4 linked regions of the Elephas maximus indicus genome follow. The protein of the gene in region 1 interacts with the protein of each later gene in a biochemical or structural test. Links are inferred from orthologs where the notes say so. Each region holds a gene or a part of one and is shown in the gene's direction. Other genes may lie near its edges. The genes, in order: MAPT, MAPK9, CDK2 and tubulin alpha-4A chain.

Region 1 (7,723 bases):
ACAAAACCTAAGGGTTCTAAGGTTGAGGGTCCACGAACTTAGAGAGGAAAACACTCATCTTTATCTTTACAACCTCTATTAGAATTTAGTATTTCAGTGATGAATGTAATAGTAACAGTACATACCTGTGACTTTGTCATCAATACATATTTTCATATCATAGTACATGTGTTACAGATATCTCAAAATATCAGCTATGATTCCTGCCACTTTGAAAGTAAAAACGTTATTAACCCGCTTTTAGATTTTGTTATTTAATGCATTAATGAAAGAGCAGTCTGGGTTCTCTGGGAAGCAGATTTTGGGACAGAGTTTAGCTTGTAGGATATTTATTAGGGAGTGCCCTTGGGATCAATACACGTGGAGGGGGAAAAAAGGCAGAATTGGGAAGAAGGAGAAGTCAAGCTGGACTCAGGCCCAACAGCAGCCTCTGTTGACCCCACAGGATTCTCTGGAGCCAAAATGGGCCATCAGAGTTGTCCCATATTAAGCCTGTATAACCCCACCAGGTCAGTCACTAGATGTGGGGTACTCTGCAGCTGAGGCAATTTTTGAAGGCTATGACAGCTGAAGGCACAACCAGGAGCTGGGGCAAAAAGTCCTTCCTTAAAGGGGCCTCTAGGTGGTATATCTTCATATCTATCACAGCCCACCCCTTGCACTGCTCAGATCCACTTTTGCATACACATTCAGGAATCAGATTTTTCAGGATTTCAGTGGGCCTCTCTTCTTGGGGGAACCTTAGAAGAGGACAATTTGTTCTCCTTATTAACCTTTGACCCCCACAGCTGTAACAGGTCTTGGGACCATCACTGATACTCATCATCTCTCTCCCCTATTATCCATTCCAGGTTCTTCTCACCCTCAGCTTTCACCTCTACTGGTCTAAGGGCTTACCTGACAGCATGACCCAGGCCATCTTCTCTGGGGGATCTCAGTTCTGGTTATGATCACCATGTCCTTCTGTGGTAGGCAGAATAATGCCCTCCCCACCAAGATGTCCACACATCCCAATCCGTGGAACCTATGCATATGCTATTTTACATGGCAAACGGACTTTGCCAAAGTGATTAAATTCAGGATCTTGAGATGGAGTGATTACCCTGGATTATCCAGGTGGGTCCAATGTAATCACGAGAGTCCCTATGGGTGAAAGGAGAGAAGAGAGTCCAAGAAAGAGATTTGAGGACAGAAGCTGAGGTCTGAATAATTCGATTGCTGGCTGGAAGCCGCACACCAAGGAATACAGGTAGCCCCTAGAGGCTGGAAAAGGCAAGGACATGGATTCTCCCCTGGAGCCTCTAGAAAGAATAAAGTTCTGTCAACATGCCATGTTTTAGTCCCATAAGACTCATTTTGGACCTCTGGTCTCCAGAACTGTACATTTGCATTGTTTTAAGCCATAAAGTTTGTGGTAATTTTTCATATCAGTGATAAAACTAATATACATTCTCAGGCTAGGATTGACGTACCTGTCCCTTAACAATCCCAGTTGATTTTAGCCCAGTGATATCTGTTACCTGAGTGAGCCATTACATTCTGGAGTCTATTTGTTACAATAGCTTAGTTTACTGTGACTAATGTAGTATGCGATTAGATCTGATGGCAGAGTTTCCTAATTCTACAGGTATCTGTATCTCAGATCTAACCCCACCTAGGACACCATTACATAAAACACTGAAGCCCAGAAAAGTTAATGAATTTGTCGAAGGTCAGACAAAATGGCTAAGATTAGGATCCAACTCTCCTGAGACCTAATCCAGTTCTCTTTCCTCTACGCCATTCTGCCTTCCATGGCTCTCTATATGCGGGCAGGGTGTGCTCCATGTGGCCAGGAGATTTCTATTTCAGCAAGGGAGAGGGTTGAGAGTATGGATGCGTTTTCTTGGCCTGAATTAGTGAAGCATTAGCTACCAACAGTGATTAAATTATCTGCAAGCAACACTCAACTCCACATTACAAACAGATGACAGATCTGCTTAAGATTGTTTCTAGCATCCATTATCTCAATTTAGTATTAGGCAAATGTGATCATTCAGTATCAGGGGACCACAATGTCACAGGTCTCTGTCAGTTTTCAATTATACTAAATTTTAGAGGAAAGAAAATGAGAAATTTGAATGGGGAGGAATATTTGGCTGCTACCATTTATTTTACGTAAAGAAATGAAGTAATGTGTAGCAAAAGCATTGATAATGATGATGAAATAATAACTACTATTTATCATTTAATGAAAGCCCACAAGAAACAAGATATCTATAATTATCTCATTTAATCCCTGAGTTGGTCAGCTTTGCTGGTGTAATAAACAAACCTAAAAATCAAGCTTCAAACTGGTTCATTCCAGTTTGAACCCCTGCTGAAAATTTGCATTTCTAACAAGTTCCCAGGCAATGCTAATGTTGCTGGTTAGGGACTGATTCTGAGAACCACTAGTAGAGCAGTGGTTCTCAAAATTTATTATACGTAAGAATCACCCAGGGATCTTGTTAAATGCAGATTCTGATTCAGTATATCTGGGGTGGAAATGTAAATTCTCAGCAGGGGTTTGAACTGGAACAAACTGGTTTGAAGACCTGCCTAAAATCTCAGCAGCTTACACAACAAATGTTTATTTCTTGTTCATGTAATACGCGCTTTCTGGCGTGTTTTCATTCTGGAACCTAGGCTGAAGAAGTAATCCTAAGGGTTCATGCCACTGTAGTGACGGAGGGGATAAGTATATATCATGTGTATCTCACATCTACTAGTTGTAGTTGCCGAAGACCACCTCGGGGCCAAGCCAAGTATCAACAGAGGAGCTGAGAGCTGGGGCAAGGCAGATCATGCAGTCATGGCTGGGGATGTATAACCCCTACAAAAGAAGAAACAATTGGGGACAATAATAAAATCTTAATCTGATAGATATTAGTCACCCCCCTTTACCCCTCCTGACACTTCCAGAGAGATGAGTAACTCTGATAAACTCCTTCCAGAAGCTGGAACTATCCCCTCCAGTTGGGGTCATTAGGGATGGATTTAGTAAACTATGAGCTAGGGTTTGAAGGACATGTTATGAGGAGGGACCAGTCCCTGGAGAAGGACATCATGCTTGGTAGAGGGTCAGCAAAAAAGAGGCAGACCCTCAAAGAGATGGATTGACACAGTGGTTGCAACAATGGGCTCAAAAATAGCAAGGATTGCGAAGATGGCGCAGGGTCAGGCAGTTTCGTCCTGTTGTACATAGGGTTCCTGTGAGTTGGAACTGACTCAATGGCACCTAACAACAACAACAAATTGTATGTCCAGAACAGCTCGGATGGTGGGAGAACAGCAATAACGTCACTTACAAAGACTTATGGAATTAGCCTCTTGTACCTATCATCATCCCCCATTGCTGCCAATAATATGTTAATCAAACCTATGGAGCCCCTGGGTGCTGCCAAAGGTTACTGCTCAGCTGCTAACTGAATGTTGGAGGTTAGAGTCCACGGAAGAAAGGCCTGGTGATTTACTTCTGAAAAATAAGCTATTGAAAACCCTGAGGACCACAGTTCTATTCTAACAAACACGGAGTTGCCATGAGTAAGAATCGACTCGACAGCAACTGGAAAAATTAAATCCGAGTTAATAAAGCATTTTCAGTGACTTGCTTTTTATATTAATCTATGATACACATTTTTTTTTTTTTTAAAGAATGTAAGCTATGCAAATAAAGTTTCAAGATAAGTTCCCACCCCCCTAGGAGGAGATGGCTGTCCCTGACCCCCTACATAGAAAGTCTCTCACTGCCAGGGCTTAATTACATTTTAGGGGATAAGGAATCCAAGTAAGGTCAGAGGCTAGGGCCTGGGGCCTGGGTTACCGGGAGAATGTGTGTATCCAGGTGAGAATCTCCAACAGGTACTTAGAAATTCAGATCTCAACTCTACTTACAGTACACGGGTGTTTCAACAAATAAAAAAAGGCTCTGCAATGTTATAAGCACCATTCGAATGTCGTCTAAATTAAGATTTTTTTCTAGGGTCAATTTATACACAATAAATTCATTATTTAAAAAAAAAAAAACTGTAATGCTGAATTAGCCAGTAAGATTTGTTAAGGGAAAATATTCACTTGGTCAATAAGAAAAAAGGTGGAAAGCAAGCAGAGAGGAAACGGGCCCAGGGAAACTGAGCTCCGACAAGGGGATCATTTCGGGAGACCCCGGGAAGAAGGGTCGGGATCACCAGGTCAGGGACAAGTAGGGCGAGCCTGGAGGAAGCCTTGGAGAGGGGTCCGGAGTGGACTCAATGGGGAGCCAGCCATGGGGACATCCACTGAGATGGGACACCGCCCCGGGATGACGGGAAGAAAGGCGGCAGTAGGTCTGGGCCCGCAGCAGCCCGCCTTGCAGCGACCGAAAAGGGTCGCCGAGCCTCCTGCCCGAGGGACGAGACCCGTCAGAAAAGACAAAGGCTCCAGCGGCGGGAGGCCGGGAGTGCGCGTGCGCCACCGAGCGCGCGTGCGCGTGGCTGTCAGTGCCGCGGCCCTAGGCATGCCGACGGCGAGGACCGGGGAAGGAAGCCGCCTAAGGATTGAGCAAGGAGGCCGGGAAAGACCGAGCGGTGGGGCGCTGGCGCGCGCCCGCTAGTGGCCGGAGGAAAAGACGCCGGCAGAGGCCTAGCTGCCCGCCCCTCCCCTGGGGAAGCTCGCGTTCCCGCTGCTCGCGCCTGCGCTGCCCGCCGGCCTCGGGAGCGCGCCCTCTCGCCGGCGCGCGCGCGCACTCGCAGTCACCGCCACCCACTGACTCCCGCACCAGCAGCACCACCACAGCCACCTTCTCCTTCTCTCCGGTCCTCGACCTCTGTCGACCAGCAGGTAAGCGCCGAGGCTCCGAAATCTGCCTACCCCTCGGCCCCGCAGCATCCCCCCGCGGCCGCCCCTCGCCCTCCGCTGCAGAGATGGGCTTCGTGCACTGGGCACCAGTGGTTGACAGAGGTGGGGCCCCTCCCTGAGCCCTCTGCGCTCTGGAGCTGGGGCTAGGGCGGCTTGGAAAGGAACTCGTGCAAAGGATGCACGCGCGCGTGTGACTGCGTGTGTGTGTGTGTGTGTGCGCTGAGGAGGGAGGGGTCCGCACGTCCGGCTTCACGCGGGCGGGGGCCGAGGCTGTGCCCGCAGGGTGGGGCGCGGATGGCGGTGGCCTGGGGAGGGGGCTGCTCTACACTCTTGAACGCCACCTTTTGCCGCAATGGGCGTATGTCTGTGTATGTGGAGGTGGGGATCCAATGACGACCCCCGAAACCGAACCTGTAATCTGATTTCTCTGCTCCCGTTTGCCAGCAGCCCTAAGGAAGGTACAGGTCTGGTTCTAGAAAAGATGACTCCCTGACTACCCCTCCCTGCGTCTCCCCAGAAGCGATTCCAATGGGGTTTCTCTGCCCCTGATTTAAGGCGGAGGCCCGCCCCCTCCCCCTTTTCTTCCTTCAGAAACCGCAGGGGACATTTGGGGGCTGGGAGTGGAATCGGAGAGATGGGGAGGGGTCCAGGAGCTGTCACTTTAGCTGCCCTTCCCCCTGTGCACTCCTGGCACCGACACAAGAGCAGCTTCGCGGATCTCAGTGTGGAGGCTCGGAAAGGCAGGGGTCACCCGGCTTTGCGATTGGACAAACTCGGCGGCCTCGGGTCCCTGCTCCTGGGCGCGCGCAGCCGCGGGCGCGCACAGCCGCAGCCGCGCGCAGCCGGGCGCGGGGGCTGCAGGTGCATTTCGGGGCGGGCCCCTTTCTCTGCGCTCTGCGCGGGGCGGCTGGCGTGTGCGCTCCCTGCCGGAGGCGCTGGGCTGGCGCGCAGGGTTCGCCCCTCACTGCGGCAGAGGGTGTGGATCCGGGTGGGAGAGGAGGAGGAGGGTGGGTTGTGCCTCCTCCTACCCACCCCCCGCTTTTTTCCCCTCAGAACGCGAGGTGCCATCTTTTTGCGGCGTACCACGTACGGTACCAAGCCAGGCTGGGTGGCTGGGCCTCGGAGGAGCAGGGCGGAGACTGCTATTTAAAGGGGGGGCAGGCAGTCGGCGCTGACATTTTGGCATTTATCCGCTGCGGGCGTGAGCACTGGGGGCGATCACCCAGGACCTTTCTCGGGGTCTCGCTGCTTTGTTTGGAGGGATTACGTGATCTGCGCTCCCAGCCCTGGATTTTAGACTTTTAGTTTATGGGGGGTGTTTCGCCAAGTCCCCTGGCCTCCCTGCCTCTTTTTTTTTCGCCCCTGCATTTCAGAGCCATTTGTTGAATCTCGGTGTCTGCCGGGATCGGTGAACCCGAGTCACAGCCTCAGGGGCACGCATGAAACGGGCATGTCCTCGCGCGGCCCCCTCCCGGAGCCCAGCCAAGCCCCAGAGGCATCCGCTGAGCTGAGGAGGTGGAATTCGAGGTGTTGGCGCACCCCGCCAGTGGCCACAGGGGGACCACGCTCCCCAGACCCGGAGCGTCCCGGGGCTCGCTCCCCAAAAGGCTGCACAGTGAGAGGTGCGGGCGACCCCATCCCCCGGGATGCAGGGGCTCGCAGGCAGGGGCTGTCTCCACTCTACTCCCTGTTGCTTCTCCCGGAGCAGATGTGTGTGGGGGGGGGAGCTTGAGGTTCTCTGGGGTGCTGCGGCCACATCCATCTTTTCCGAGTGGACTGTGGGGAGCTACGTGGGGGTTGCCATGGAAACCACACGCGACCCGGGAAGGGGCCATGGGGCGTTCTCCGCCCCTTACCCGCGAAGATTGAGGATCTGGGGAGGCCGGGGCCACGCCCCCCATCCCTTTGATGGCGCGGTGGGGTCCACGGCTCTTCCTTATTGGCCACTGGCGGCCTCAGCCACCCAGAGAGGCGTCCCTGTAGTCTTTTTATTATTATTATGGCCGTTCTGGTGACTATCGTTTTAGAAACGTGCGGGATTTTCGCATAAAAGCCCTGGTTCACTGGTGCCCTTGAAACCAGGGACGGGGGACCCCTTGCGAGCAAGTCCCAGCCTCGCCCTCGTAGTGATTACACGTGCGATGAGGCGGGCCTGCCCGGTTTCTGGTTGGTTCTGTCTCTGCAAACTGGCCTGGGGCACAGATCGAAGTAGATGGCCGAATCGTCCGCTGTGGCCGCCCAGATTGACCTGAATTCCCGGGGAATGGCTTGGATCGGAGTCCAGAGCCCACTGGGGTCAGACCGCCCCTCTGCTGCGAGGCCTCCCCGCAGAGCTGGGCCCTCGGCGGGCTGATCGAAGAGCGGCTCCAGGACCCCGGCTAGGCAGCTCTGGGGGCGGAATTCTCGTGCAGACAGAGCAAGGGTCCTGCCGCGGCCCTGGGAAAGGGGATCCGCGGCCACGGCTCCCCGTGGCGACTCGCAGACAGAGAGATGCCACCTCCTGCCTGTTGGGGGAAAAGGAACTGGCGGGGAGTAGCGCACTTAGCCCAATGCCGGGAACAAAGCGCGGTCCACGCGTCTGAGATTTCGCTCCATTATGAAATGTGTTGGTTTGATGAAGCACTCCAGCCGGCAAGGCCCGGGGGCTGCTCATGGAGGAATCTTAGGGGCCAGAGTGTGGTCCTTCGGCCGGCGATTTGTAGCGCGTTAACGAACGGCCTCACCGGGGCATCTCGAGGGATGCAGCGTTTAAACGGACGCTGAAACGCTGGGCCGGTTGCTGCGCCTCCGGAAACGTCCGGGCACGGATACAAGGGCCACCACCTCCCCGCCCCCGACCCCTAGTAGGCGGGGCTTCTCTCTTGTT
Region 2 (7,018 bases), on another chromosome or scaffold:
AAAAAAAAACAGTGTTTCTGGGATAAATAGGAGGCTTAGAGAAAACTCAGTGTGACTATGTGTGCAGTGATTTTTTAGTTTCTTTGTTTTTTAATTTTATTGTGCTTTAGGTGAAAGTTTACAGCTCAATTGTTTCCCAATCAAAAACTTATACACATATTGTTGTGACATCAGTTGCAATCCCAGCAATGTGACAGCACTCTCCCTCTTTCCACCCTGGGTTCCCCATGTCCATTAGTCCAGTTTTCCTGCTCCTTCCTACCTTCTCGTCTTGCTTTTGGGGAGGAGTTGCCCATTTGGTCTCTATTATGGATTAAATTGTGTCCCCCCAAAATTTGTGTCAACTTGGCTAGGCCATGATTCCCAGTATTGTGTGCTTGTTCACCATTTTGTCATCTGATGTGATTTTCCTTTGTGTTGTAAATCCTACCTCCATGATGTTAATAAGGCAGGATTAGAGGCAGTCATGTTAATAAGGCAGAACTCAATCTACAAGATTAGGTTGTATCTTGAGTCAATCTTTTTTGGGGTCTAAAAGAGAGAATCAGATCGGGAGGGGGGCCCTCATACCACCAAGAAAGCAGCACCTGGAGTGGAGCACATCCTTTGGACCCAGGGTTCCTGCCTGGAGAAGCTCCTGGACCAAGGGAAGATTGATGACAAGGGCGTCCCTCCAGCCCTGAGGAAGACTAAAAGCCTTCCCCTGGAGCTGGCACTCTGAATTAAGGCTTCAAGCCTACTAGACTGTAAGAGAATAAACTTGTTTGCTAAAGCCATCCACTTGAGGTATTTCTACTATAGCAGCACTACATAACTAAGTCTCATATATTTAATTGAACTAAGAAACACGTTCCTCACGTGTGTTGTTTTATAGACCTGTCTAATGGCTGAAAAGCGGGCTTTGGGAGTGCCTTCAGTTCTGAGTTAGCAGGGTGTCCAGGACCATAGTCTCAGCGGTTCCTCCAGTCTCTGTCAAGCCAGTAAATCTGGTTTTTTTTTGTGAATTTGAACTCTGTTCTACATTTTTCTCCCCCTCTGTCTGGGGCTCTCTATCGTGATACCTGTCAGAATTGGTCTGTGGTGGTAGCAGGACACCATCTAGGTCTTCTGGGCTCAGGCTAGTGATGGCTGTGGTTCATGTGGTCCTTTAGTCCTTTGGGCAAATTATTTTCCTTGTGTCTTTGGTTTTCTTCATTCTCCTTTGCTACGGACAGGATGAGACCAATAGATGTATCATAGATACATCTACTTGCAAGCTTTTAAGACCCCAGATGCTATACACGAAAGTAGGATGTAGAACATTTTCTTTACGAACTGTATTATGCCAACTGACCCAGGTGTCCCCCAAGACTCTGGTCCCCAGCCCTCAGCCCCAGCAACTCAGTCCTCAAGGTGTTTGGATGTATCTAGGAAACTTCTACGACTTTGCCTTGGTCAAGTTGTGCTGACTTCCCCTATATTGTGTGTTGTCTTTCCCTTCACCAGAGCTGACACTTTTCTACTATATAGTGATTTGTCCTCCTCATCCCTCCCCTCCCTCGTAACCATCAAAGAATGTTTTTTTCTGTGTGTAAACCTTTTCTTGAGTTTTTATAACAGTGATCGTGTACAGTATTTTGTCTTTGTGTTTGACTTATTTCACTCAGCATACCCTCCAGATTCATCCACGTCATGAGATGTTTCACAGATTCATCATTGTTCTTTATCATTGCGTAGTATTCCATTGTGTGTATGTACCATAATTTGTGTATCCATTCATCTACTGATGGGCACTTAAGCTGTTTCCATCCTTTTGCCATTGTGAATAGTGTTGTGATGAACATGGGTGTGCATACGTCTACTCATGTGACAGCTCTTATTTCTTTTTTTTTTTTTTTAATACTCCTAGGAATGGAATTGCTGAATTGTATGGTATTTCTAGCTTTTTAAGAAGGCACTACATCGTTTTCCATAGTAGTTGTGCCACTTTACATTCCCACCCACAGTGCGTAAGAGTTCTAATCTCCTCGAAAGGTCTCCAACATTTATTTATTTTAACAATGAGATGGTATCTCATTGTAGTTTTGCTATGCTGGTTACTCACTTTGCATAGGGTAAAGGGTGCATTTTAAAGGTGGATGTTGTAAAATCGGGCACAGTATGTGTCTGGGAATTGGTGCTCCCTTCCTAATCTGACCAGAAGGTTCCACAAATGCTCCTTGGTAGAATTACAACTGACAGCCAGGCTTTTACTAGTTTCCCCAAATCCCTGATGGTGGCATTTTTCATTCTCTGTTTTCTGGAGTGCAAATGAAGTCAGGGTGCCCGAAGCAGGTGGTAGGCGTCAATGAAGTATCAGCAGGAACCCATTAGGTGGGCCCTCCATTGAAGGCCACACTCAAGAGCTATAGTTAGTTTTAGAAACCTCCCTTTGGTGGCCATAGTGGGGGGGGAGGGTGGCCTAATGGGGACACCATGACTCGATCCCTTCCTCTACCCCACCCCTCCTCTGAGACCCTAGTGGTGCCACCAGCCTTGCTCGGCACTCGGGTCCCCTTGATACCTAGTCAGTCTTGCTGCCTTCCCCAAGTTCTGCCACCCATGCCTCTCAGTCCCTTGACCACCCATCTACGGGGTCCTGCTTCTTCTTCCTACCTTATCCCTTACCCCTAGTCACTCCATGGACCCTGGCATCCTAGGACTGTTGCTCCTTCTCCAAGGTCACCATTTGCCAAGCACCATCTCCTACTCTTCCCATCCCCAAAGTCTAACTCCCCCCACTCACACCCCATCCATTGGCCTCAAGCTTTCTCTAAACGCATTCAGCGTCCTTGCTTCACTTCCGTCTTTACTTAGCCACAGCACCAGATAAACTCTCATCTTCTAAGACACTAAGCCGGCAGTTACCTGACCCGAGGGCCTTGAGGGCTGCAGGAGAAGCCCCAAAAGCTCAGTGTCAACAGACCCCAGTCACTAGCGGGCCCTCAGCACTCTCGTTGTGTACCCTCCAGCCAATTCCGACTCATAGCGACCCCCTAGGACAGAACCCCATAAGGCTTTCTAGGCTGTATCTTTACATGAACAGATATTCAGGTCTTTTCTCCCGCGGAGCAGCTGGTGGGTTGGAACCGTCTACCTTTTGGTTAGCAGCCAAGCGCTTTGACCATTGCGCCACCAGCACTAACACCCTCCATTTACGGTTTTGCCCTTCTCCTCTAAGACCGAGGGATTGGACCCCGTTCGTTTCAGCCCTGCCACCAGACGCACCAGTCCATCCTCTCCTTCCCTCAGTCGCTGATCAACTGGGAGAGATTGTCTACACAGAAGCTCTCCATCTCCTCGGGCCTCCCCTGCAACAACTGGATTCTGACCGCATCCCCGAAAAGCCCCTTCACTGAGGCGCGCAGCTCCCCCAGCTGCAGTGAGCAGCGTAGTCGAAAGGCCCTGCGCCTCTCCTCCCACTTCCCCCAGGGCCGTTTCACGCCGATTCCCGGGCGACCCGGCCCCAGCCTCCCCTCGCCTTCGCCCGGGTTCTCCCCGAAACGGGCCGGCTCTCAGTCCACCTCCGGGACGCCTGGTCCCTGCGAGCCTGAACCCGCAGCCCCGAGGCTGGCTCCTGCTCGGCCCCACTGCGGTGAGGCGCCCCAGCCAGGTCCGCCTCCGGCCCGGATCTCGGTTTTGTCTACCCTCTCCGCCGCCTCCCGGGTCCGCGTCCGGTCGTCGTGCCGAGCCCTTCTTGCCGGGCTTGGGGGGCGGGCCGAGTCATGCTTGCGCCTCCAGCCCATGGTACGCACTAGGCAGGTCTGTATGCGGCGGCTGCGTGGCCCGAGCAAGCGCACGGTCTCAGAGACGCTGAGCCCCGCCATACCCCAACCGAGACCTCAGGCAACCGACCCGGCCGCAGGCTCCGCCTGCCGCCCCACCTGCCGCCTCGCCAGCACCGCCCAGCAGCGGGTGGGCCTCCTGGCGCAATTGGCCGCGTCGGCCCGGCTTTCCGCGAGCTGATTGGTTGGCCCTCCGGTCAGTCAGGAAAGGCGCCGCGGCGGCGGCGGCTGCGGAGGGAACCCGACCGGAAGGGTCGAAGCGCCCCGGAGCCCCTCACACCCACTGCGGCGGCTGGGCGTAGCGGGGCGGGGCGGCCGGCCGAGCCCGGGGGCAGCGGATCCGGGAACTGCCAGCGCGCAGCGCTGCCAGTCTGCCCGCCCGCCCTCTCCCCTTGGCGCGGCGGCGGGGAGGCGAGGTGAGCGCGGCGGGTGGCGAGAAGGCTAGGCCCGGCGGGGGCTGCTTGGTCCGGACCCCTCCGGCAAGGGGCGGCGGGAGGGCTAGCGGCCGGGCTTTGCGGAGTGGGCGCAGGGCTGCCGGATGCAGGCCGCGGGGTGGGCCAGGGCCTGCGGGGAGCTGGCGGTCCGGGCCGCCGCCCCTGCCCTAGAGGCTGCCGCAATCGCCCCCTTCCTCCCAGCTGTTAGCAGTCCCGGGTGTTGGCAGGCTTCCGGGCCTGGCCCCGACAGACCTGCCCGGGGGTGAGGAGTTGTGGGGGGTGGGGGCGCAGGAAGGGGTCTGCGGGTGCCACCCCTCCTGACTCCGGGGCGCGCAGCTGCACACACACCGGTGCTGCGATGCTCAGGAGCTCCGGGTCTGGTCCCTGCGACCTTGGCCAAGGCACTGACCCTCACCATGCCTCAGTTTACCCATCGGGAAAAGGACGAATTGTCAACACTTTTGTACAGAGTGGTTGTCAGGTTTGTGGCGGTGTGTGAAAGTGCGTGAGCCTTGTACACATTTGTGGGAAATCGGGCAGGATGGTGCCCCTTGCAGGTGTGAGTGGCAGGACAATCCCATCCCTCCCAGCCTCCAGCCCTTGCACTCTTCCAGTGCCTTGTTATTGCACACTCAATGCCCCTGGCAGCGCCTGAGCGGCCCTGCCCACCTCCTCTCCCGTCCCTTCCATCCATAGCAGTGTGCTCCTATCCCACTCACCTCACCTGCCTTGAAAATTCCAAGCCTCATACACCTCAAGACCTTTGCAATTGCTGTTTCTTGTGTTTGGAGTTGTCTTCTGGATCTTTACACAGCTGACTCCTTGGTGTTCGTTTCTCTGGACATCTCTGGTCGTATGTTTTCTGTGAGGCCTTCCTTGACCACCCTCTTTCTTTCTTTAGTCATTCTGTCTCCTTTGTTTAATTTTATTCCCAGTGGTATATTCTGGCTTGAAACTGTTCTGTTTGTCTGCCTGTTTATTTTCTGTTTCTCCTGCTAGGATGTAAGCACTAGGAAAACAGGTAGTTGTCTGATTTGCTCACTGCTTTATCCCAACTGCTTAGAAAGCACACAGTAAGTACTTAGTAATATCAGTTGAATGAATGAATGGATGCTTTAAGGAATGACCCTGCCTCCCTATTGCCTCTGGTTTATCTTTTAATTTAGTGACTTCTGATTAACTTGTGAGACCTATAAGCAGATGGAAGCTTGTTCTCATTTTGTGAAACGTTTTAATGTTCTTGACCTCTTTATTTGGTAACTGTCGGAACAAGCTGTCGATATGAAAGCATGTGATATTTTAGCTCCATCTTCCTTCCATTCAGTAGACATTTATGGAGTTCTAGATTATCTAGGTCAGGTTTTGTGCTAGGCCTTGGGGACACAAATGAGATGGCGACAGGGTCCCTTCCCCCAGAGAGCCCAGCAGGGAAAGCAGACATGCAGACAGTTTGTCCCAGGACAGCATGATGACTGCTATAGTGGAGGAGGCAACAGGTGGTGTTGGGGTTGGGCCTTGAAGGATGCTGAGAAGTTTGCCAGGCAAGGAGAGGCACGGAAGTATGACGAGGTTGGGGGTCAGGCTTTAGCCCAGTATGGAGCTGGAAGTCCGCCACAAGGCCAGGTGTAAGAGAGCACGGAGTGGTGGGGGCCCTGGACTACCAGAACCCCACCCAGCAATTTTTTAAAAGAAGCTAGAATTCCAGATTTTTGTGTTTACTCTCCTGGTTTTGTAAATATCTCCCAAACTTAAACCTACTGCCATCGAGTTGATTCCGACTCAGTGATTCCATAGGGTTTCCAAGGCTGTAAATCCCTATGGAAGCAGACTGCTACATCTTTTCTCTCATAGAGCCACTGGTGGTTTTGAACAGCTGAACTTTTTGGTTAGCAGTCAATTGCTTTAACCACTGCGCCACCAGGGCTCTTTTGTGTAAATGCTGACAGTAGTTAATTAATTACACACACTAAAAACAAGCAAGCAAACCAAAAACTGCTATGAGCCAAGCAAAATATAATAAGCCTCATTCAGCTTGGCTATAGGATTGTCATGCTCCAGGACAGGCTGTGTAGGAGGAAGTTGCTGTGATTCACTGGAAAGGTAGCCTAAGGCCAGGTACCAGCCCAGGTACTCCCACTTAATTGTTAGGAGCCCTTGAGTAACAGCTATGAAACCCATTTTTACAGACGAGGAAACTGAGGCTTATAGAGTTTGAGCAGTCTGCTTCAGATGAGCAGCTGGTAAGTGAAATTTGAACCCAGGTCTCCCCCAGATCCAGTGTTCTTTCCTGGGTCCTTCAGCTCTGAGCACACTCTTTTGGCCTTTGTTATTCTGTAAGAACAAAATCCAATCTAGATGATGTTTTCCTCTATCCATTTTGTTTGTTTCCTTCAAAAGGATCTCGAGGGGTTAAAAATAATTGTATTTTGGCAGTCTTCTCTGGAGAGCTTTGATATGCCTGAGAATTTTATTTTTAAGGTGCCATGACTTTAAATAATTTGTTGACAGATTAAAAGGTGTTTGTTTGGTTCCCTAAATAAATGTTAGAGGGTACACTTAAATTTCATATTTTTCTCTTTAAAATAAAGTCATCTTAATTATCTGGTTAAAGAAAAGTTTTGATGCAGCAAATACTGTGAGTAAGTACATTCTCAAACCAACTGTTTTCGTGATGAATATGGTAAAACAGAAAGCACTTTTTTTTCTTTTAACTCTATTGATTTGGTGGTAAAACCCAAAAAACCAAACCCATTGCCATCGAGTCGATTCTGACCCATAGCA
Region 3 (7,973 bases), on another chromosome or scaffold:
GGTGGTAGACGGTCACTTCCATGGTATGTGTGCCCAGCACTGCCCTGCCTGTGCCAAGGCTCAGCCCAGACACTGGGCCCCCCAGAACTTGCCAGTATTGGCCTGAGGTTTTGGGGAGAAAAAGCAGGGATAGGAAAGGTTATTGGCCAGAGGAGAGTGAGGGGCAGAATTAGAGAAGGGACACTGGAGAAAGGAAGTCAGGAGGTGGGTTGAGGATGGTTACTTTAGAGGCTGTGATGTTGGGGACAAGGAAGAGGTCCTAAGGAGGGGTTCCATGGGGTGGTACTACAAATGGGGAAGGGCTCCCAGAAAGAACTATGATAGAGTTAGGGGGATAGATGCTAGGGAGGAGAAAGCAGCCAGGGAAGAAATAAAGCTTAGAGGAAACCAGAGGTTAAGGGGTGAGGTCAAAAATAAAGGCTATCAAGTAGGAAAAGGTGAATCCAAGATGGGAGACAGTCCAGAGAAGCGAGTCCCTCACCCCAGGTCTTCCAGACATAAACAAAGCTTCTCCTCTGAGACCATGGGCCAGATGGGCAGGGTCCACCATCAGGGAAGATGCAGGCATCATCAGGGTCCTGGGGATACACTGGTTGTCCTTCCCACACCTGGCTCCCTGAGAGGTAGAGACAGAGTAACCCTCAGACAATGGCATTCTTTTTTCTTTTTGGTTTATCTGTGTTTTCTAGTTCTACTATGGTACACATGTATTATACATATAATTCTCTGAGTTCACTGGGGATTCCAGGGAATGTGAACCCTAGAAATGAGGGCCTGAAATAGAGAGGTACTCACCATTGATGGTGGCATTGTTGGCCCAGATGACCTGGCCATCCAGCAGCACTCTTTGGCTTTCAGGGAAGTGCAGAGCAATAGAGAAGGAGGCATTTGCCCCAATCAGAGTGGGCCCATCATTACTGACCTTCAGGGACACCTGGCCACCTGAGTAGGGAGGCTCCATTAGCTGGGACTCTCAGCTGCCCCTCCCTGTACACCTTTCCCCTTCCTACCTTCCCAAGCTATATTCAATCCAGTTCTTGCTTCTCTTCCCATCCCACTCCCGCAATGCCCTCCCCACACAACTGCCAAATTCCTACCTCTCCAGCAGTCAGACCCCCGGACTTCTGTCCACTCTGGATATAGTTGTCTGTTCCAGGCTTTGTTTCTGACCTGCCTTGAGATACCAGGCCAGTCCTGGTCTCTGGGTCCTAAAAGGAGTGTACCATTAAGGATACCAGGTCCTCACTCAGCCCCCTCGCAGAGGATAACATTCTATCCCATGTCACTCCACTCATTCTCAAAAAGTGCATTTTAATTTACCGGGTACCTGCCATGTACCAGGCACTGTGCTAGGCAAAGAGAACTTAACAAATGAATAAGACTTGAGGCTGCAGCTTAATGAGGGAGGCACTGAAGGGATTTAAGGTGAAGTACAGGAAATAGACATATACGTAAATAGCTATATAATTCAAGGCACTGTTTAATATGTACCATAACAAACACCCATAAAATAGAATGAAATGACAGATAAACAGATTAATCTCCCTCTGGCAGATTTGGAAAGGCTTCAATGAGGAGTTGGCATTTGGGCTGTGGGATAGAGCATTCCAGCAGAAGGACCAGCAATGCGTAAACGCATGAAGGCATGGAAGCACATGGCATGTTAGGGGAACAGCAATGTGGCTGATGCACCACTGTGAGAGATGAGGTTAGAAGCCTGGTTGGGGGCTTAAGTGCCAGGCTAAGAACTTTGGTCTTTAACGTGTGGGCAAGATCACCTCAGAAGGCATTTCTTGTCTGTTTGTTTTTAATTGAGATATAATTCATCCATATGCTGTCATGGATTGAATTGTGTCCCCAAAAAATATGTGCCAACTTGGTTAGGCCATGGTTCCCAGTATTGTGTGGTTGTCCTCCATTTTGTGATTGTAATTTTATGTTGAGAGGATTAGGTGGGATTGTAACAGTATCCTTACTCAGGTCACCTCCCTGATCCAAGGTAAAGGGAGTTTCCCTCAGGTGTGGACTGCCCCACCTTTTATCTCTCAAGAGATAAAAGGGAAGGGAAGCAAGCAGAGAGTTGGGGACCTCATACCACCAAGAAAGCAGCACCAGGAGCAGAGCGTGTCCTGTCCTTTGGACACTGGGTCCCTGAGCCTGAGGAGCTCCTCCACCAGGTGAAGTTTGAGGACAAGGACCTTCCTCCAGAGCCCACAGAGAAAGCCTTCCTGTGGAGCCGATGCCCTGAATTTGGACTTGTAACCTACTAGACTGTGAGAAAATAAATTTCTCTTTGTTAAAGCCATCCACTTGTGGTCTTTCTGCTATGGCAGCACTAGATGACTAAGACATATGACATAAAAAATTCACCCTTCAGAAGGTTTTTGAACATGATCAGATTTGTGTTTTAAAGATCACTCTAGCAAGCAGTGAGCAGGATAAATCAGAATCAGGGGGAGGTTAGGGGTGGGGACAGAGCAGACAGAAAATTATTTTAACTGATCAAGAGAGAGGTCGGAAAAAAAAGGATCTAATGACCTCCACATGCCCTCACCCAGATCCAACAACCATCAACAGTTTGCTACATCTGATTTTTGCTTGTGTGCTTTTTTTGGCTAAAGTATTTAAAAGTAAATCCCAGGCATCTTGTTATTTTAAACCTACAGACTCAGTATGTACCTGTAAAAAATAACGAATGTTTTCTTGCATAAGCGTGATAACTAAATGAAATGATCAAGTGCAGTCCATATAAAATTGTCATGAATATTTTTAAAATGCCATTTTCTCATTTTTTAAATCAGAATCTGAAAAGTAAGCACAATCTTTTAAGAGCCTCAGGTGGGTGAGTATGAACAGAATGTTCCAAGAAAAGGATACATTGGAGAACATAATAAAAGAAAAGGACGTGGAGACTGTAGCACACATGAGGGAGGTCAGATGAAAGAGAACCTCCCAGAAGTGTATGAGCCTAGGGATCTAGAGAGAGAAATGGGGGCTGAAACATAATGTATACATTTCAGCATGGCAGAAACTATTCCCACCCCTTTTCTGCTGTGTACTGGAAACCTAGTTGATTCTTCTGGGAGAGGATCCAAAATTATCACATTGAACATCCCACCGCTACAGCAAGAGTCATGAGATGCCCCATTCTTTCTCCATTCCTAACCCTCTCTCCTTAGGGCAGCATGGGACATTCCAGACCCTCTCACCACATCTAACCCCACCCCTTGCTCCTGTCACGAGGCTTCAATCCTGGGAGAGCCCTTTCATGTGATGCTCAGCTGAGACCCCTCTGCCTGTCTCTCCCTGCCCCAGAACAAAAGGCCTGGACCGTGTTCACCCACTCCCATCCCAAGGGGGGAAGGTGATGCCACCTTAGCCTTCTTATCCAATACCACATTCTCTTACTCCCCACTTTAAATCTCCCGCCTCAAGTGCCTGAGACATTACCTAGAAGGTTCTCCCACCCATTTCACCCCCTTGGAGCTCTAGCTCATTGTCTGGGGGCCTCAGATCTAGGGCCACAAAGACCCACTATCTTTTGCCCAGCAAGCAGACGGGGTTGTTTTCAAGCTCAATCTCAAACCTCCATGTGGGGAAGGAGCTCAGGTGCCCATGTTCTCTCACTTAATCAGGTGGGTGGGAGAAACCTGAAGCAGTGCCCGGAAGAGCTGGTCTCTCCCATTAAAAAAAAAAAAAAAAGTTTTATTCGAGTCGATGCCATGTGTTACAGAGTAAGGAGCCCTGGTGGCACAGTGGTTAAAGCACTTGGCTACTAACCGAAAGGTCAGTAGTTCCAAGACACTAGCCACTCTGTGGGAGAAAGATGTGGCAGTCTGCTTCCCTAAAGATTTATAGCCTTGGAAACCCTATGAGGCGGTTGTATTCTGTCCTTGCAGGTTCACTATGAGTTGGGTTTAATAAATTAATTAATTTATTTTGGGAGAGGAGTTACAGAGTAGAAGTGCTCAATAAGATTTTCTTGGCTGCAATCTTTACAGAAACAACTTGCCAGATCTTTCTTCCGTGGCATCACTGGGTGGGTTCAAAACCACCAACTACCAATTACACATGGCAAAAAACCAGAGTAGGTGTCCATCCCTAAATTCACACCCGCCCATGTTGATGCTGCCCCACGCTCACCTTCTGTGGCCCCCACAGCCAGCAGAGCACCCATCACAGCCACATGGAGAAGGCATCTCTTGGGCACCAGATACATCCTGTCCTTCTCTCCAGCATTCCAAAGTGCCAGGGGGCTGAGGCAATCCCTTTATAAGAAAGGGGTGCTTATTTGCATAGCCCTTCCTCCTCTCAGCCGGGGAGGGACGAGGGAACTAGGGAGAGGCTGCATTGACTCGGGTTTCTGGCCCCTGGACACTCCCTTCCCATCTCCATATCCAATGAGTTTCTCCTTTCACTAGGTCTCTCTCATCTTGACACACTCCATCCCCCCCACCCCAGTTGACTGAAAGGCAGCTACATAAAAAATACCGAGCACACACAATTCATCATGGAAGAGTGAATTAATCAGTTGTTTGAGTCAAACCAGGAACCTCCTAAAAAGACAGAAAGAGACTTCGCATCCAAACACAGAGAGAGACAGTATCGGGGTAGGCTGAGGGCAGGAATTCCTTAGAATGACGGTGAGATTCCCAGCTTTCTGATTTTCCAAGGTAGCTCCTTGGGCCAAGTGGAATTTAATCTTAGGTCGAAATACATTATCCCCAGGGGTGATTAAGGAATCCCCACAGACTTGGGAAACAGGCAGAAAACTCGAGGCCAAATCAGGTACTTGGAAAAACGCCATCGGCAGCCCAAACAAGCCAGAAACTTAACGCCCTCGGAGTCGAACTTGCGAGGGGTGGGGTCACTTGCGGCCACGGGCTCCGGGCGCTCGGCTAGTCACCCCCGCTCTGACGTCCGCCAATAGGAAGGGCCGGGGGCGGAGCCAGTGAAACGCGGGAAGGAGGGGCGGGGCCTCTGGTGGCGGTCGGGAACTGGGGCGACGGCAACATTGTTTCAAGTTGGACAAATTGACAAGAGCTGGAGATACACTGCGTTCCATCCCGACCTGGGGCCGCGGTGCCCGGCGGTGTCTCTTCCTCTTCCGCCCTCCAGAGCCGGGGCCCGCCTTTTGCAGGGTTCCCAGGCCCCCGCTCCAAGGCCGGGCTGACCCGACTCTCTAGCGCTTCATGGAGAACTTCCAAAAGGTGGAAAAGATCGGCGAGGGCACGTACGGAGTTGTGTACAAAGCCAAAAACAAGGTGACGGGAGAAGTGGTGGCGCTTAAGAAAATCCGTTTGGACACGTGAGTGGCTTCTGTACCTGGGACTCCTAACTGAGGAGCTCTTTTGAGTGCCCCCCTCCGCAGGCGGGCAGTGGTCCAGAGACCGGAAGGTAGTAAGAAGGGACTTTTTTTGAAGTGGGAAGGTGGGTTGGGGGACCGACTAAAGAATTTCCCCAGGGAAAGTATAGTGTGCGTTAGAATCCACGGAAAACTTCCCCTCCAAACTGAGCCGGGTGATGCCCCCAAACGTGCAATGTGACAGACTCAAGATGAGGAAGGAGGCCTTGGGGCTGGGGTCCAGAACTCCCCTTAGAGTTGGTTTTCGGAAACTAGTGAAGAGCACCTTTCTGAATGAAGGGCCTTCCTCTCTGCCCCAACCCCACCCTCATCTTAGAATTCTTTACCTATTTCAAAGGAATGGCAGTTGAACTTCACTGGCCCCTCTGGGGAGGCTGGGTGCTACTCCCTCATTTTTTCTGTTACCTTCTCTCTGCTTCACCTTCACCAGGTGGCCTCACTTAAATACCTTTGGAAAAGAGGAAATGATAACCTTAATGTGTCCAAAAGCTAATCCCTGCTCCACCCAGGAATTAACTCCTTCAGCACTCTTTCTATTTTCTCACTGTCCTTGGGTCGTGCTTCCTTTGGGGGAAAGAAACGACTGGCCTGGGAGAAAAGGAGTATTTGTAACCAAATTCCCATCTCTGCTCTCCCAACCCCTCCAAGTGAAACAGAGGGTGTACCCAGTACTGCCATCCGAGAGATCTCTCTGCTTAAGGAGCTTAACCACCCTAATATTGTCAAGTAAGTATACCTGGGAAGTGGTCTGATAGCAAAGGGGTATGAGTTCTGTCTGTGTAGTCTGAGCATTTCTCTCTCACCTCCACTCCGGACCTCCCTTCCCTAGGCTGCTGGATGTCATCCACACAGAAAACAAACTCTACCTGGTTTTTGAGTTTCTGCACCAGGATCTCAAGAAATTCATGGATGCCTCTGCTCTCACTGGCATACCTCTTCCCCTCATCAAGGTAACACTTCTCATCAACTCCTCCCCAGGATGATCATGTCTTGGGGGGACCAGAGGTAGGCAATTCAGACTGAGTGATGATTTGTGATCTTGGTTCCCTTCCCAGCCCTCATCTTTCCCCCTACACACACACACCCACATACACACACCTTTTGTGGTTCTTTCTCTGCTCGTTATGTTCACTAACCCTAGGACTGGGCAGGAGAATCAAGCCCAAGTCCAGTGCTGTCCAGTCGATTCCGACTCATAGCGACCCTACAGGACAGAGTAGAACTGCCCAATAGAGTTTCCAAGGAGCGCCTGGCAGATTCCAACTGCCGAACCTTTGGTTAGCACCTGTAGCACTTAACCACTACACCACCAGGGTTTCCAGGAGGATCAAAGAAGTTAAAATTCTAGTGAGTCAACTTAGCAGCACAGGTGGGAGGTCAGAGGAAACTCTGGATGAATGAAATTTGAGGGCATTTGTCGGTTCCTTCAAAAAGCCTTTCCACCTGTTGCTTGGTGGGAGTAGTAGCCAGTGAGTCTGTTGTCTGTTTTAAGGCTGGATTCTTTACTCCTTGAGTAACTTTTAATCTTTTTACAAATGTTTATTCAATGTACTGAGTCCTTGGGTGCCACTGTATAGAGTTTGGCTACTTACGAAAAGGTTGGTGATTAGAATCACCCAAGACGTGCCTCAGAAGAAAGGCCTGGCAATCTACTTGCAAAAGATCATAGCCCTTGAAAACCCTATGTACAGTTCTACTCTGAAACACATGTGGTTGCCATGAGCTGGTATTGACTTCATGGCAACTGGTTTGGTTTTTGGTTTTATTCAATGCATATTTATTGAATGCCTTCAATGCAAAACTGAATAAAGCCTGGTCTTTATCTTCACTGGGCTTACACTCCAATGGGAGAAATAGTTTGCTACATGTAATTCTAACCCAAAGGTCCCTGGGTGGTGCAAATATTTGCACTCAGCTGGGAACCAAAAGGTTGGTGGTTCGAACCTACCCAGTGGCACCGAGAAATGGCCTAATGATCTGCTTCTATAAATGTTACAGCCAAGAAAACCCTATGGAGCAGTTCTACTCTGTAATAGATGGAGTCTCTCCAGAGTCAAAAACCAACAACACAACAAAAACAAAATCAACAAAAACATGTAATTCTAATCCAATAGAGTAAGAGCTTTGGGGGCACAGAGCCCTAATCTGCTCCCTGTGTTGGAGAAACTCAGTCCTCTCTCTCTCTCTCTCTCTCTCCCCTTTGTCAGAGCTATCTGTTCCAGCTGCTCCAGGGGCTAGCTTTCTGCCATTCTCATCGAGTTCTGCACCGAGACCTCAAACCACAGAATCTGCTTATCAACGCAGAGGGGGCCATCAAGTTAGCAGACTTTGGACTAGCCAGAGCGTTTGGAGTCCCTGTTCGTACTTACACCCATGAGGTGAGTCCCTCTATGCTTTTCTCTGAGCTCTGCAGAGGTGATAACAAGTGCATTCACAAAATTACTAAAAATATCTGGCCAGCTGTTTCTCTGTCTTAGTAGGTGGAAAGAATCTCTGATACCCTAAGAGATCTTAGAGAATGCACAGAATTCACTTGTGGGGCTTGTGGGGCCACCTGAGCTTAGATAATGCCAAATCAGGATAGCTGAATAACGGGACACCTTTAAAA
Region 4 (7,678 bases), on another chromosome or scaffold:
GGGATGTTGGTATACGCTAGGCAGAGGTGCCTGTGTGACTAATCAAGTCACTTCTGACCCATGGCAACCCCATGTGTGTAAGAGTGGGAACTGTGCTACATAGGGTTTTCAATTGCTGATTTTTGGGGGAGTAGACTGCCAGGAACCTCTGGTGGGTTTGAACCCCTAACCTTTTGGTTAGCAGCCAAGTGCATTAATCATTTGCACCACCCAGACACTCCCCTACGTGACTGTTGTTAGGCGCCGTCAATTTCAACTCATTGCAGTCCCATGTGGCAGAGTAGAGCCACCCCATACAGTTTTCTAGGCTGTAATCTTTACAGGAGCAGAGTGCCTTTGTCCTGCGGAGCCACTGGATGGGTTCCAACCACCAACCTTTTGGTTAGCAGCCGAGTGCTTAACCTCTGTGGACTAGTCCCCAATAAAAACCACGGGCACTGAGTCTCTAATGGGTTTTTCTGGGCAGAAACATTGCAGGAAAATATGGCATTTTCGTTGCTGGAGGAAGAGTGCACTCGTGTGAGCCCTATGAGAGGGAGAGAGCACAGATTCCCTCCAGATTCCTTCTGCGTCTTTCCCCTTTATGATCCAGTTGTATGTCCTTACCACATCACTGCAGCAAACTTTAGCTGTGGGTACAATGGTACCCTGAGTCGGTGATTCCTTCCAGGGAATCTCCAAACATCGAGATAGTCTTGGGGTGCCTGACAGAGTAATAGTTTCTGCTTTTTTAATAGCCTAAATACTATGGAGGTTAATGGTGGGAGGGCCAAACAAAACATTTCAGAGAGGAAATTTGGCCTCCAGGCCACCAGTTTGCAATTTCCAAATTTTTAGAGTTCTACCCTAATTTTAAGGAGTGCTGGTGGCACAGTGGTTAAGCACTCAGCTGCTAATCAAAAGGTCGGTGGTTTGAACTCACCAGCCACTCTGCAGGAGGAAGATGTGGTAGTTGGCTTCCATAAAGATTACAGCCTCAGAAGCCCTTGTGGGGTAGCTCTACTCTGTCCTATAGGGTCACTATGAGTCAGAATTGACTTAATGGAAATGGGGTTTTTTGAACCCTAATTTTAAGGAGCCCTGGTGGTACAGTGGTTAAGCACTAGGGTGCTAAATAAAAGGTCGGTTGTTCAAATCCACCAGCTGCTGTAAAGATTAGAGCCTTAGAAACCCTCTAGGAGCAGTTCTACTCTGTCCTGTAGAGTTGCTATGAGTTGGAATGCGCTCAAAGGCAATGGGTTTGGTTTTTGGATTTTACCCTAATTTTAGTCCCATCCCTGGCATTGCAACAGTTAAGCAGTAGGCCACTAACTGTAAGGTAGGTGATTTGAACCCTCACAGTGGCTCTGTGGGAGAAAGACCTGGCAATCTGCTTCCATAAGAATTACAGCCAAGAAAATCCTATGGGGCAGTTCTACTCTGTCGCATGGGGTCGCTATGAGTCAGAATTGACTCGATGGTGCCCAACAACAACAACCATGTAGTAAAACTATTCATGTGACATACACTTAGCAAAGACCTACGATGTACTAAGCATCATACTAGGAACTGGGAACACAAAGATGAATAAGACCCTTATCCAGTGCTTTGCAGTGTACTTAGAAAAAATCCAAACCAGTTGCCATTACTGTAGTTCCAACTCATGGTGACTATGCTCCATGGGGTTTTTCAATGGCTGATTTTTCAGATGTATATCTCCAGGCCTTTCTTCCGAGGTGTCTCTGGGTGAACTTGAACCTCCAACCTTTTGGTTAGCAGCAGAGTGCGTTAAATGCTTGCACCACCCAGGGACACAGTATACTTATACCTCCCTAAAGTTTACACTAAACTTTATAGTGTTGCTATGAGTTGGAACTGACTTGATGACAATGCGCTGAGTTAACTAAATAGGTCTACTTTAGAGGAGAGGAGCCCTGGGTGCACAATGGTGAAGCACTTGATTGCTAACTGAAAGGTCATTCTGCAGCAGTAAAGATTACAGCCTAGAAAACCCTATGGGCAGTTCTACTTTGTCACTTTATGTCAAAAATTGACTTGATGGCACCGAACAACAACAAAGTTTACACCTCCCTAAATTCATCTGGCCCTCACAACCCAAAGTTGTTATTCCAGTTTTACAAATGAAGAACCTGAAGGTAAAAGAGATCTAGGGTTTTGTCTAAGACAGCTCAGGTCTGTTACTACCTTCATTCTGCTAGAGGTGGGGGTATAGGGGGAACAAGAGGTGGGGGTATGGGGGGAATAAGGGGGCACAAGGAAGACCTGCAAGAGGCTATGTGTCCTGTGGTCACCAAGGGCTCCTTCCTCTGTAGAGACCCATGACCTTATTTCCCAAATGGGCCTTGTCAGTTTTCTTCTTATGAATGAGTCTTGTCCTCTCAACCAATTGGCAAGTTTATTGGGAACAGAGACCTCATCATATTTTACTGTATCCCTTTCCAGCTATTTTGTTGATAGCAAGTTGCCACCACTAGTTATTGTATCATATTGTGTTATACTGTACTGGCCCAGGGGACATTTGATGGTGTGAATCCTCCCCAAGTGGTGACTAACCCAGGAGACAGAGTTATTAAAGAAGTGCCAAGGAGCACGTGGTTTAAAGTCAGGAGAAGTGTGCGTCAGGGTTGTATCTTTTCACCATACCTATTCAATCTGTATGCTGAACAAATAATCCGAGAAGCTGGACTATATGAAGAAGAACGGGGCATCAGGATTGGAGAAAGACTAATAACCTGTGTTACACAGATGACACACCTTGCTGGCTGAAAGTGAAGAGGAATTGAAGCACTTACTGATGAAGGTCAAAGACCACAGCTTTCAGTATGGATTATAACTCAACATAAAGAAAACAAAAATCCTCACAACTGGACCAATAAGCAACATCATGATAAACGGAGAAAAGATTCATCTTACTTGGATCCACAATCAACAGTCATGGAAGCAGCAGTCAAGAAATCAAAAGATGCATTGCATTGGAAAATCAGATGCAAAAGACCTCTTTAAAGTGTTGAAAAGCAAAGATGTCACCTTGAGGACTAAGATGAGCCTGACCCAAGCCACGGAGTTTTCAATCACTTCATATGCATGCAAAAGCTGGACAATGAATAAGGAAGACTGAAGAGGAATTGACACCTTTGAATTGTGGTGTTGGCGAAGAATATTGACTATACCATGGGCTGCCAAAAGAATGAACAAATCTGTCTTGGAAGAAGTACAAGAATCCTCCTTAGAAGCAAGGATGGCGAGACTACGTCTCACATACTTTGTACATGTTAACAGAAGGGATTAGTCCCTGCAGAAGATCATCATGCTTGGTAACAATAGAGGGTCAGCGAAAAAGAGGAAGACCCTCAGCTAGATGGATTGACATAATGGCTGCAACAATGGGACTCAAGCATAGCAACAACTGTGAGCATAGCAACAATTGCAGAACCGGGCAGTGTCTCACTCTGTTGTGCACAGGGTCCCTATGAGTTGGAACAGACTCGATGGCACCTAACAACAACAACGAGGAGCACATGGAAGAGCTGCCTGGCCAATTTCCCCAGCGGAGGGAGACAGAAAATGTAAAGCAACCAAGGGAACGGAGAAATAGCTTGAAAAAGTCTGTTTTTGCAAGAAACGGAAATGAAATGTAGAAAGATGTTATGGCTTCTGTCTCACCGATGAGGACGTTAAGCTGCTGGCTCAGGTCATGTCAGCGACGTAGAGACAGAAGAGGATGGGAAAGTAAAAATCAGCCATGACACCAGAATCTCCATTTTCTTTTTCCCTCTTCAGAGTCACCGAGCCTTCTGATACCTCACAACAATGCCTCCAGGGCAGAATGATTTTCTTCTATTTATCAATGTAGATGCCAAGGATGCAGTGAGGTGTCATCTGCCCAAGGCCCCACAGGGCAGTGTGGATGCGAATCCAGGTCCTGAGGGTTCCAGGTTCTGCGCTCTGGCGGCAGGAAGGTGGGCAGGCAGCGATGGCCTTAGCTAACTAATAGTGACGGCGTTGATGACGGCCCCTGACGGGGCGGGAGGCCGGCGACCCGCTCAGATTCCCGGGGTCAGCCCTGGCAGGTAGGCGGGGGGGGGGGGGGCTCGGCTCTGCCGGAGAGACTAAGGGACCAGCACCATGGGGCTCAGGCTGTGCAGCTCCCAGGCCTCGACAGCTCACGGGCGTCAGCGAAGGCCAGGGGTACCGGCTGGGGACCAGCAGGCGGCGTGACGCTGGAAGGGGGCTCCCAGGGCCGGGCCGGAGCTGGGCAGCTTGCCCGAGCTGCCCCGGAGGCGGGGCGGGGAAGGTTTGGACGAAGGACGGCTGCAGCCACGTCGGGAGGACGGCCTTGACGCCATCCGGCCTAAGTCTGCACACCTGGGCGACCGGCGCCCCCATAACGCGGGTGCAGGCGAGAGGAGCCCTGGCACCGCGCCCTGCGTCCCTGCCACGGAGCTCGGGGGCCCCGAGTGTTAGCTCAAAACCGGAAGCGCAGGGTTAAAGCCACGGCGTCTATTCCTAGCCCAAGTCCTGCAGGTGAGGGACTCGACGCAGCTGGGGAGGGATCCCGCCCGGCCTCACCCCTCGCGGCCGCCCACCCCTCGGAGGGGGCGTGGCTCTGGGCCACCCAGCCCCCGGCGGGCGGGTCGAGCGCGCGGGCCCTGCCCCCGCCTATAAGAGCGGTGCGGCACTGCAGCTAACGCAGTTCTCACCGAGACCCGTCACCCCGACTCTACGTGAGACGCACCGCCCGGACTCACCATGGTGAGTGCGGCCCTGCAGGCAGCGCGGGGGTCCCCGGTTTCCCCTCTCCTTCGGGGGACCCCCCTGCTCCCGGGACCTTCCAGCGGGCGTTCCAGGTCTCGAGAAAGTGCGAGGATTTTTGCATCCCCCTAACCCCTGCCTGGTGACTTTGGCGGAACCGTGGCGTCCACCTTGGGAACCTGGGAATGGGTAATCGGGTAGGGTGGCATTCTTCATTAACAGAGAGGAGCCCTCCTGGCCACCTGCCCCTGCCCCACCAAGCACTTGTGCCCTAACCTTCCTGCGGGTAGTCACGCGGGCCCGTGCAAGGTCTGGGAAAGACCCGCTTGGCTGCCCAGCACCCCATTCTCCCACCCCCGCTCCTGGAACAGACTGAACACGTGCTTGGCCCAAGTAGGTGGAAGGAGGTCAGATTACTTGGTTCCGCGCCCCCTTTTCCTCTGATTGTGTGTGCATCCCCCCTATCTACCGTGCCCCCCAGTGACTCAGCACCCCACTTCTGAGCCTAGAGGGGTGGCGGGAATGGGCTTCGGCTTCGGGAGCGGAGCTAGCCTCTCCAGCCGAAGCCCGGTGCGCCGACGGGCAGAGACAGCTGGCGCTGAACGAGAGCGCGGCCGGGGCCAGGCGGGGGGAGGGGAAAGAGGTCTGTGGGTGTGTGTGTGGGGGGGTGGTATTTATAGCCCAGGAGCGGAGGCCGAAATTAAACCCCAGGTCTGGGAAGTAACTGGAAAGAATCTAGAGGGAGGGCAGATGCAGGGCCGGGGAGCAGGATGGAGCTCGCCCCCCGGGGCAAAGTCGGTTACCTCTGGGGCCTTACCGCAGGTTCTGCTTCCTTTTCTGGGTATTGGGTAACCGTCACCCCGCCATTTCGGGGTTGGAAAGGGAGGTTACGCGGGCCCTGCGCGGATCACGTACTGCTCTGGCGCTTCAGAGATTAACCAGACTGACAGGGATGGAGCCTAAGGCAACGAGTGTCCCTGTGTCCCTAGCCCCTATTGCCCGCCCTGCCCTCTGTGCCCACTAGTTTTATTGTTGCTATTTCTGTGTGGGCTGACGCGGTGGATGAAGGTGGTGAAGAAGCCCAGAGTGCGGGGATGGAGGTGGGGAGAGGAGCCAGATGGGTTGATCCCCAGAGCCAGATGGGACTTAAAGGTGGGGGAAGGGGATATCCATTATGGTCAGTTGATGCCAACTGGAAGCTGAAGACACCTCTGCAGCCCACAGTAAAGAAGAGGGGAGAGGACTGTATGAAATTCGAGTTGTTCATCCTCAAAGGAAAGAATTAATCAGGTGGGGGGCCTCTAGCTATAAACTCAGCTCCGGTGAACCTTCTGCGCCTTTGCAGGCTCTTGCGAAGCTGGCGTTTTGGGCAGTAGGGATCAGGCTGAGAAGTCTCATGTCTCGGTTACTGCAATGTATGCCTTGCCCTCTGCGTCCTCCCTGAGTGTCCTGTGAATGTGGCGGGGTCATGTAGAGCCAAAGCTCTTGCTTGACAAGTTCCCCACTGAGAAGGAGGCAAAGGGGCTGGCCTGCCCTTCTGGGTGCCTTCAGTGCAGGAGACTTAAGGTGGGGGAGCCTGGACGGGCTGCCAGCCTCTTCTGACCATTGCCCAGCCCAAAGCCCCCACTCTTGCCAACTAAGTCATCCTAGCTGGTAGGAGGGAGGCTTATGAGGTGAGGAATTGTGGGTGTGGGACTTATGTTGTGTCCCCTCTTTATCCCTCAGCGTGAATGCATCTCAGTCCATGTGGGGCAGGCAGGTGTCCAGATGGGCAATGCCTGCTGGGAGCTCTACTGTCTAGAACATGGGATTCAGCCTGATGGCCAGATGCCTAGTGACAAGACCATTGGTGGAGGGGATGACTCCTTCACTACCTTCTTCTGTGAAACCGGCGCTGGAAAACATGTGCCCCGGGCAGTTTTTGTTGATTTGGAGCCCACTGTAATTGGTGAGAGGAAGAGGGGCAGGAATGGGGGGGGGGTGGAGGAATTTGAGGGTGGCTCTGACCTTCTCTCTGAAAAGAGGGTGTCTAGACCTGGCTTTCGTAGCCCTCTTTGAAGCTGAAAAAGGCAAGCTGATCTCAGGCTGGCTTGGGCAGCAGGTCTGGGTTCCTCTCCCGCTCTGCTATCTCAAGTCTGGCAGAAGGACAAGTTCTTTCATACATCCGACCACAGCTACCATGCTGCAGGAGGGAGGTCTCTGCTGAGCACAGCCTTATGGTTTTTGCCCTAACCATGTGGTTTATGCCCTTCCAGATGAGATCCGAAATGGCCCATACCGACAGCTCTTCCATCCAGAGCAGCTCATCACTGGGAAAGAAGATGCCGCTAACAACTATGCCCGTGGTCACTATACCATTGGCAAGGAGATCATCGACCCGGTGCTGGACCGGATCCGCAAGCTGGTAAGAATCTGGGAGGGAGGGAGCTTCTGAGACTATGTGAATGGTCAGGAACACTGTTTTCAGATCCATTTCAGGAGGTCAGCTCTTAATTGTGCATATCCTAGGGCATGACACTGCAGCTGTGGGATGCTCAGTAGTCTTGGCCTTGACTCTTGAAATATGTTAGGCTTTTGTGAAGCCCAAAGAGTTCCTCAGACCCCTCCCTGGTACCTACATTGCTCTTTCTCATTCTTGTCTTTCAGTCTGACCAATGCACAGGACTTCAGGGCTTCCTGGTGTTCCACAGCTTTGGAGGGGGTACCGGCTCCGGCTTCACCTCGCTGCTGATGGAGCGGCTCTCTGTTGACTATGGCAAGAAGTCCAAGCTGGAGTTCTCCATCTACCCGGCCCCTCAGGTGTCCACAGCCGTGGTCGAGCCCTACAACTCCATCCTGACCACCCACACCACCCTGGAGCACTCAGATTGTGCCTTCATGGTGGACAACGAGGCCATCTATGACATCTGCCGCCGCAACCTGGACA

The links.
Region 2: of the proteins of MAPT (region 1) and MAPK9, one has a biochemical effect on the other in vitro, tested with the Homo sapiens proteins (2 studies listed by BioGRID). The link is inferred for Elephas maximus indicus from reciprocal best matches to the Homo sapiens genes MAPT and MAPK9.
Region 3: of the proteins of MAPT (region 1) and CDK2, one has a biochemical effect on the other in vitro, tested with the Homo sapiens proteins (2 studies listed by BioGRID). The link is inferred for Elephas maximus indicus from reciprocal best matches to the Homo sapiens genes MAPT and CDK2.
Region 4: the proteins of MAPT (region 1) and tubulin alpha-4A chain are reported together in a solved structure, tested with the Homo sapiens proteins (2 studies listed by BioGRID, with this or other methods). The link is inferred for Elephas maximus indicus from reciprocal best matches to the Homo sapiens genes MAPT and TUBA4A.

The regions. Positions count from the first base shown.
Region 1 is NC_064837.1:52,645,724-52,653,446, forward strand, and holds the start of MAPT (microtubule-associated protein tau), read left to right. Parts: upstream 1-4,716; 5' UTR 4,717-4,839; intron 4,840-7,723. UniProt on the Homo sapiens protein: Promotes microtubule assembly and stability, and might be involved in the establishment and maintenance of neuronal polarity.
Region 2 is NC_064820.1:202,713,847-202,720,864, reverse strand, and holds the start of MAPK9 (mitogen-activated protein kinase 9), read left to right. Parts: upstream 1-4,013; 5' UTR 4,014-4,219; intron 4,220-7,018. UniProt on the Homo sapiens protein: Serine/threonine-protein kinase involved in various processes such as cell proliferation, differentiation, migration, transformation and programmed cell death.
Region 3 is NC_064822.1:115,940,236-115,948,208, forward strand, and holds the start of CDK2 (cyclin-dependent kinase 2), read left to right. Parts: upstream 1-4,972; 5' UTR 4,973-5,192; coding exon 5,193-5,308; intron 5,309-6,013; coding exon 6,014-6,091; intron 6,092-6,194; coding exon 6,195-6,315; intron 6,316-7,572; coding exon 7,573-7,743; intron 7,744-7,973. Other genes in the region: melanocyte protein PMEL, read right to left, coding at 1-102, 482-616, 796-942, 1,098-1,208, 4,144-4,219. UniProt on the Homo sapiens protein: Serine/threonine-protein kinase involved in the control of the cell cycle; essential for meiosis, but dispensable for mitosis. Phosphorylates CABLES1, CTNNB1, CDK2AP2, ERCC6, NBN, USP37, p53/TP53, NPM1, CDK7, RB1, BRCA2, MYC, NPAT, EZH2.
Region 4 is NC_064824.1:117,843,577-117,851,254, reverse strand, and holds the start of tubulin alpha-4A chain, read left to right. Parts: upstream 1-4,669; 5' UTR 4,670-4,749; coding exon 4,750-4,752; intron 4,753-6,477; coding exon 6,478-6,700; intron 6,701-7,007; coding exon 7,008-7,156; intron 7,157-7,398; coding exon 7,399-7,678. UniProt on the Homo sapiens protein: Tubulin is the major constituent of microtubules, a cylinder consisting of laterally associated linear protofilaments composed of alpha- and beta-tubulin heterodimers.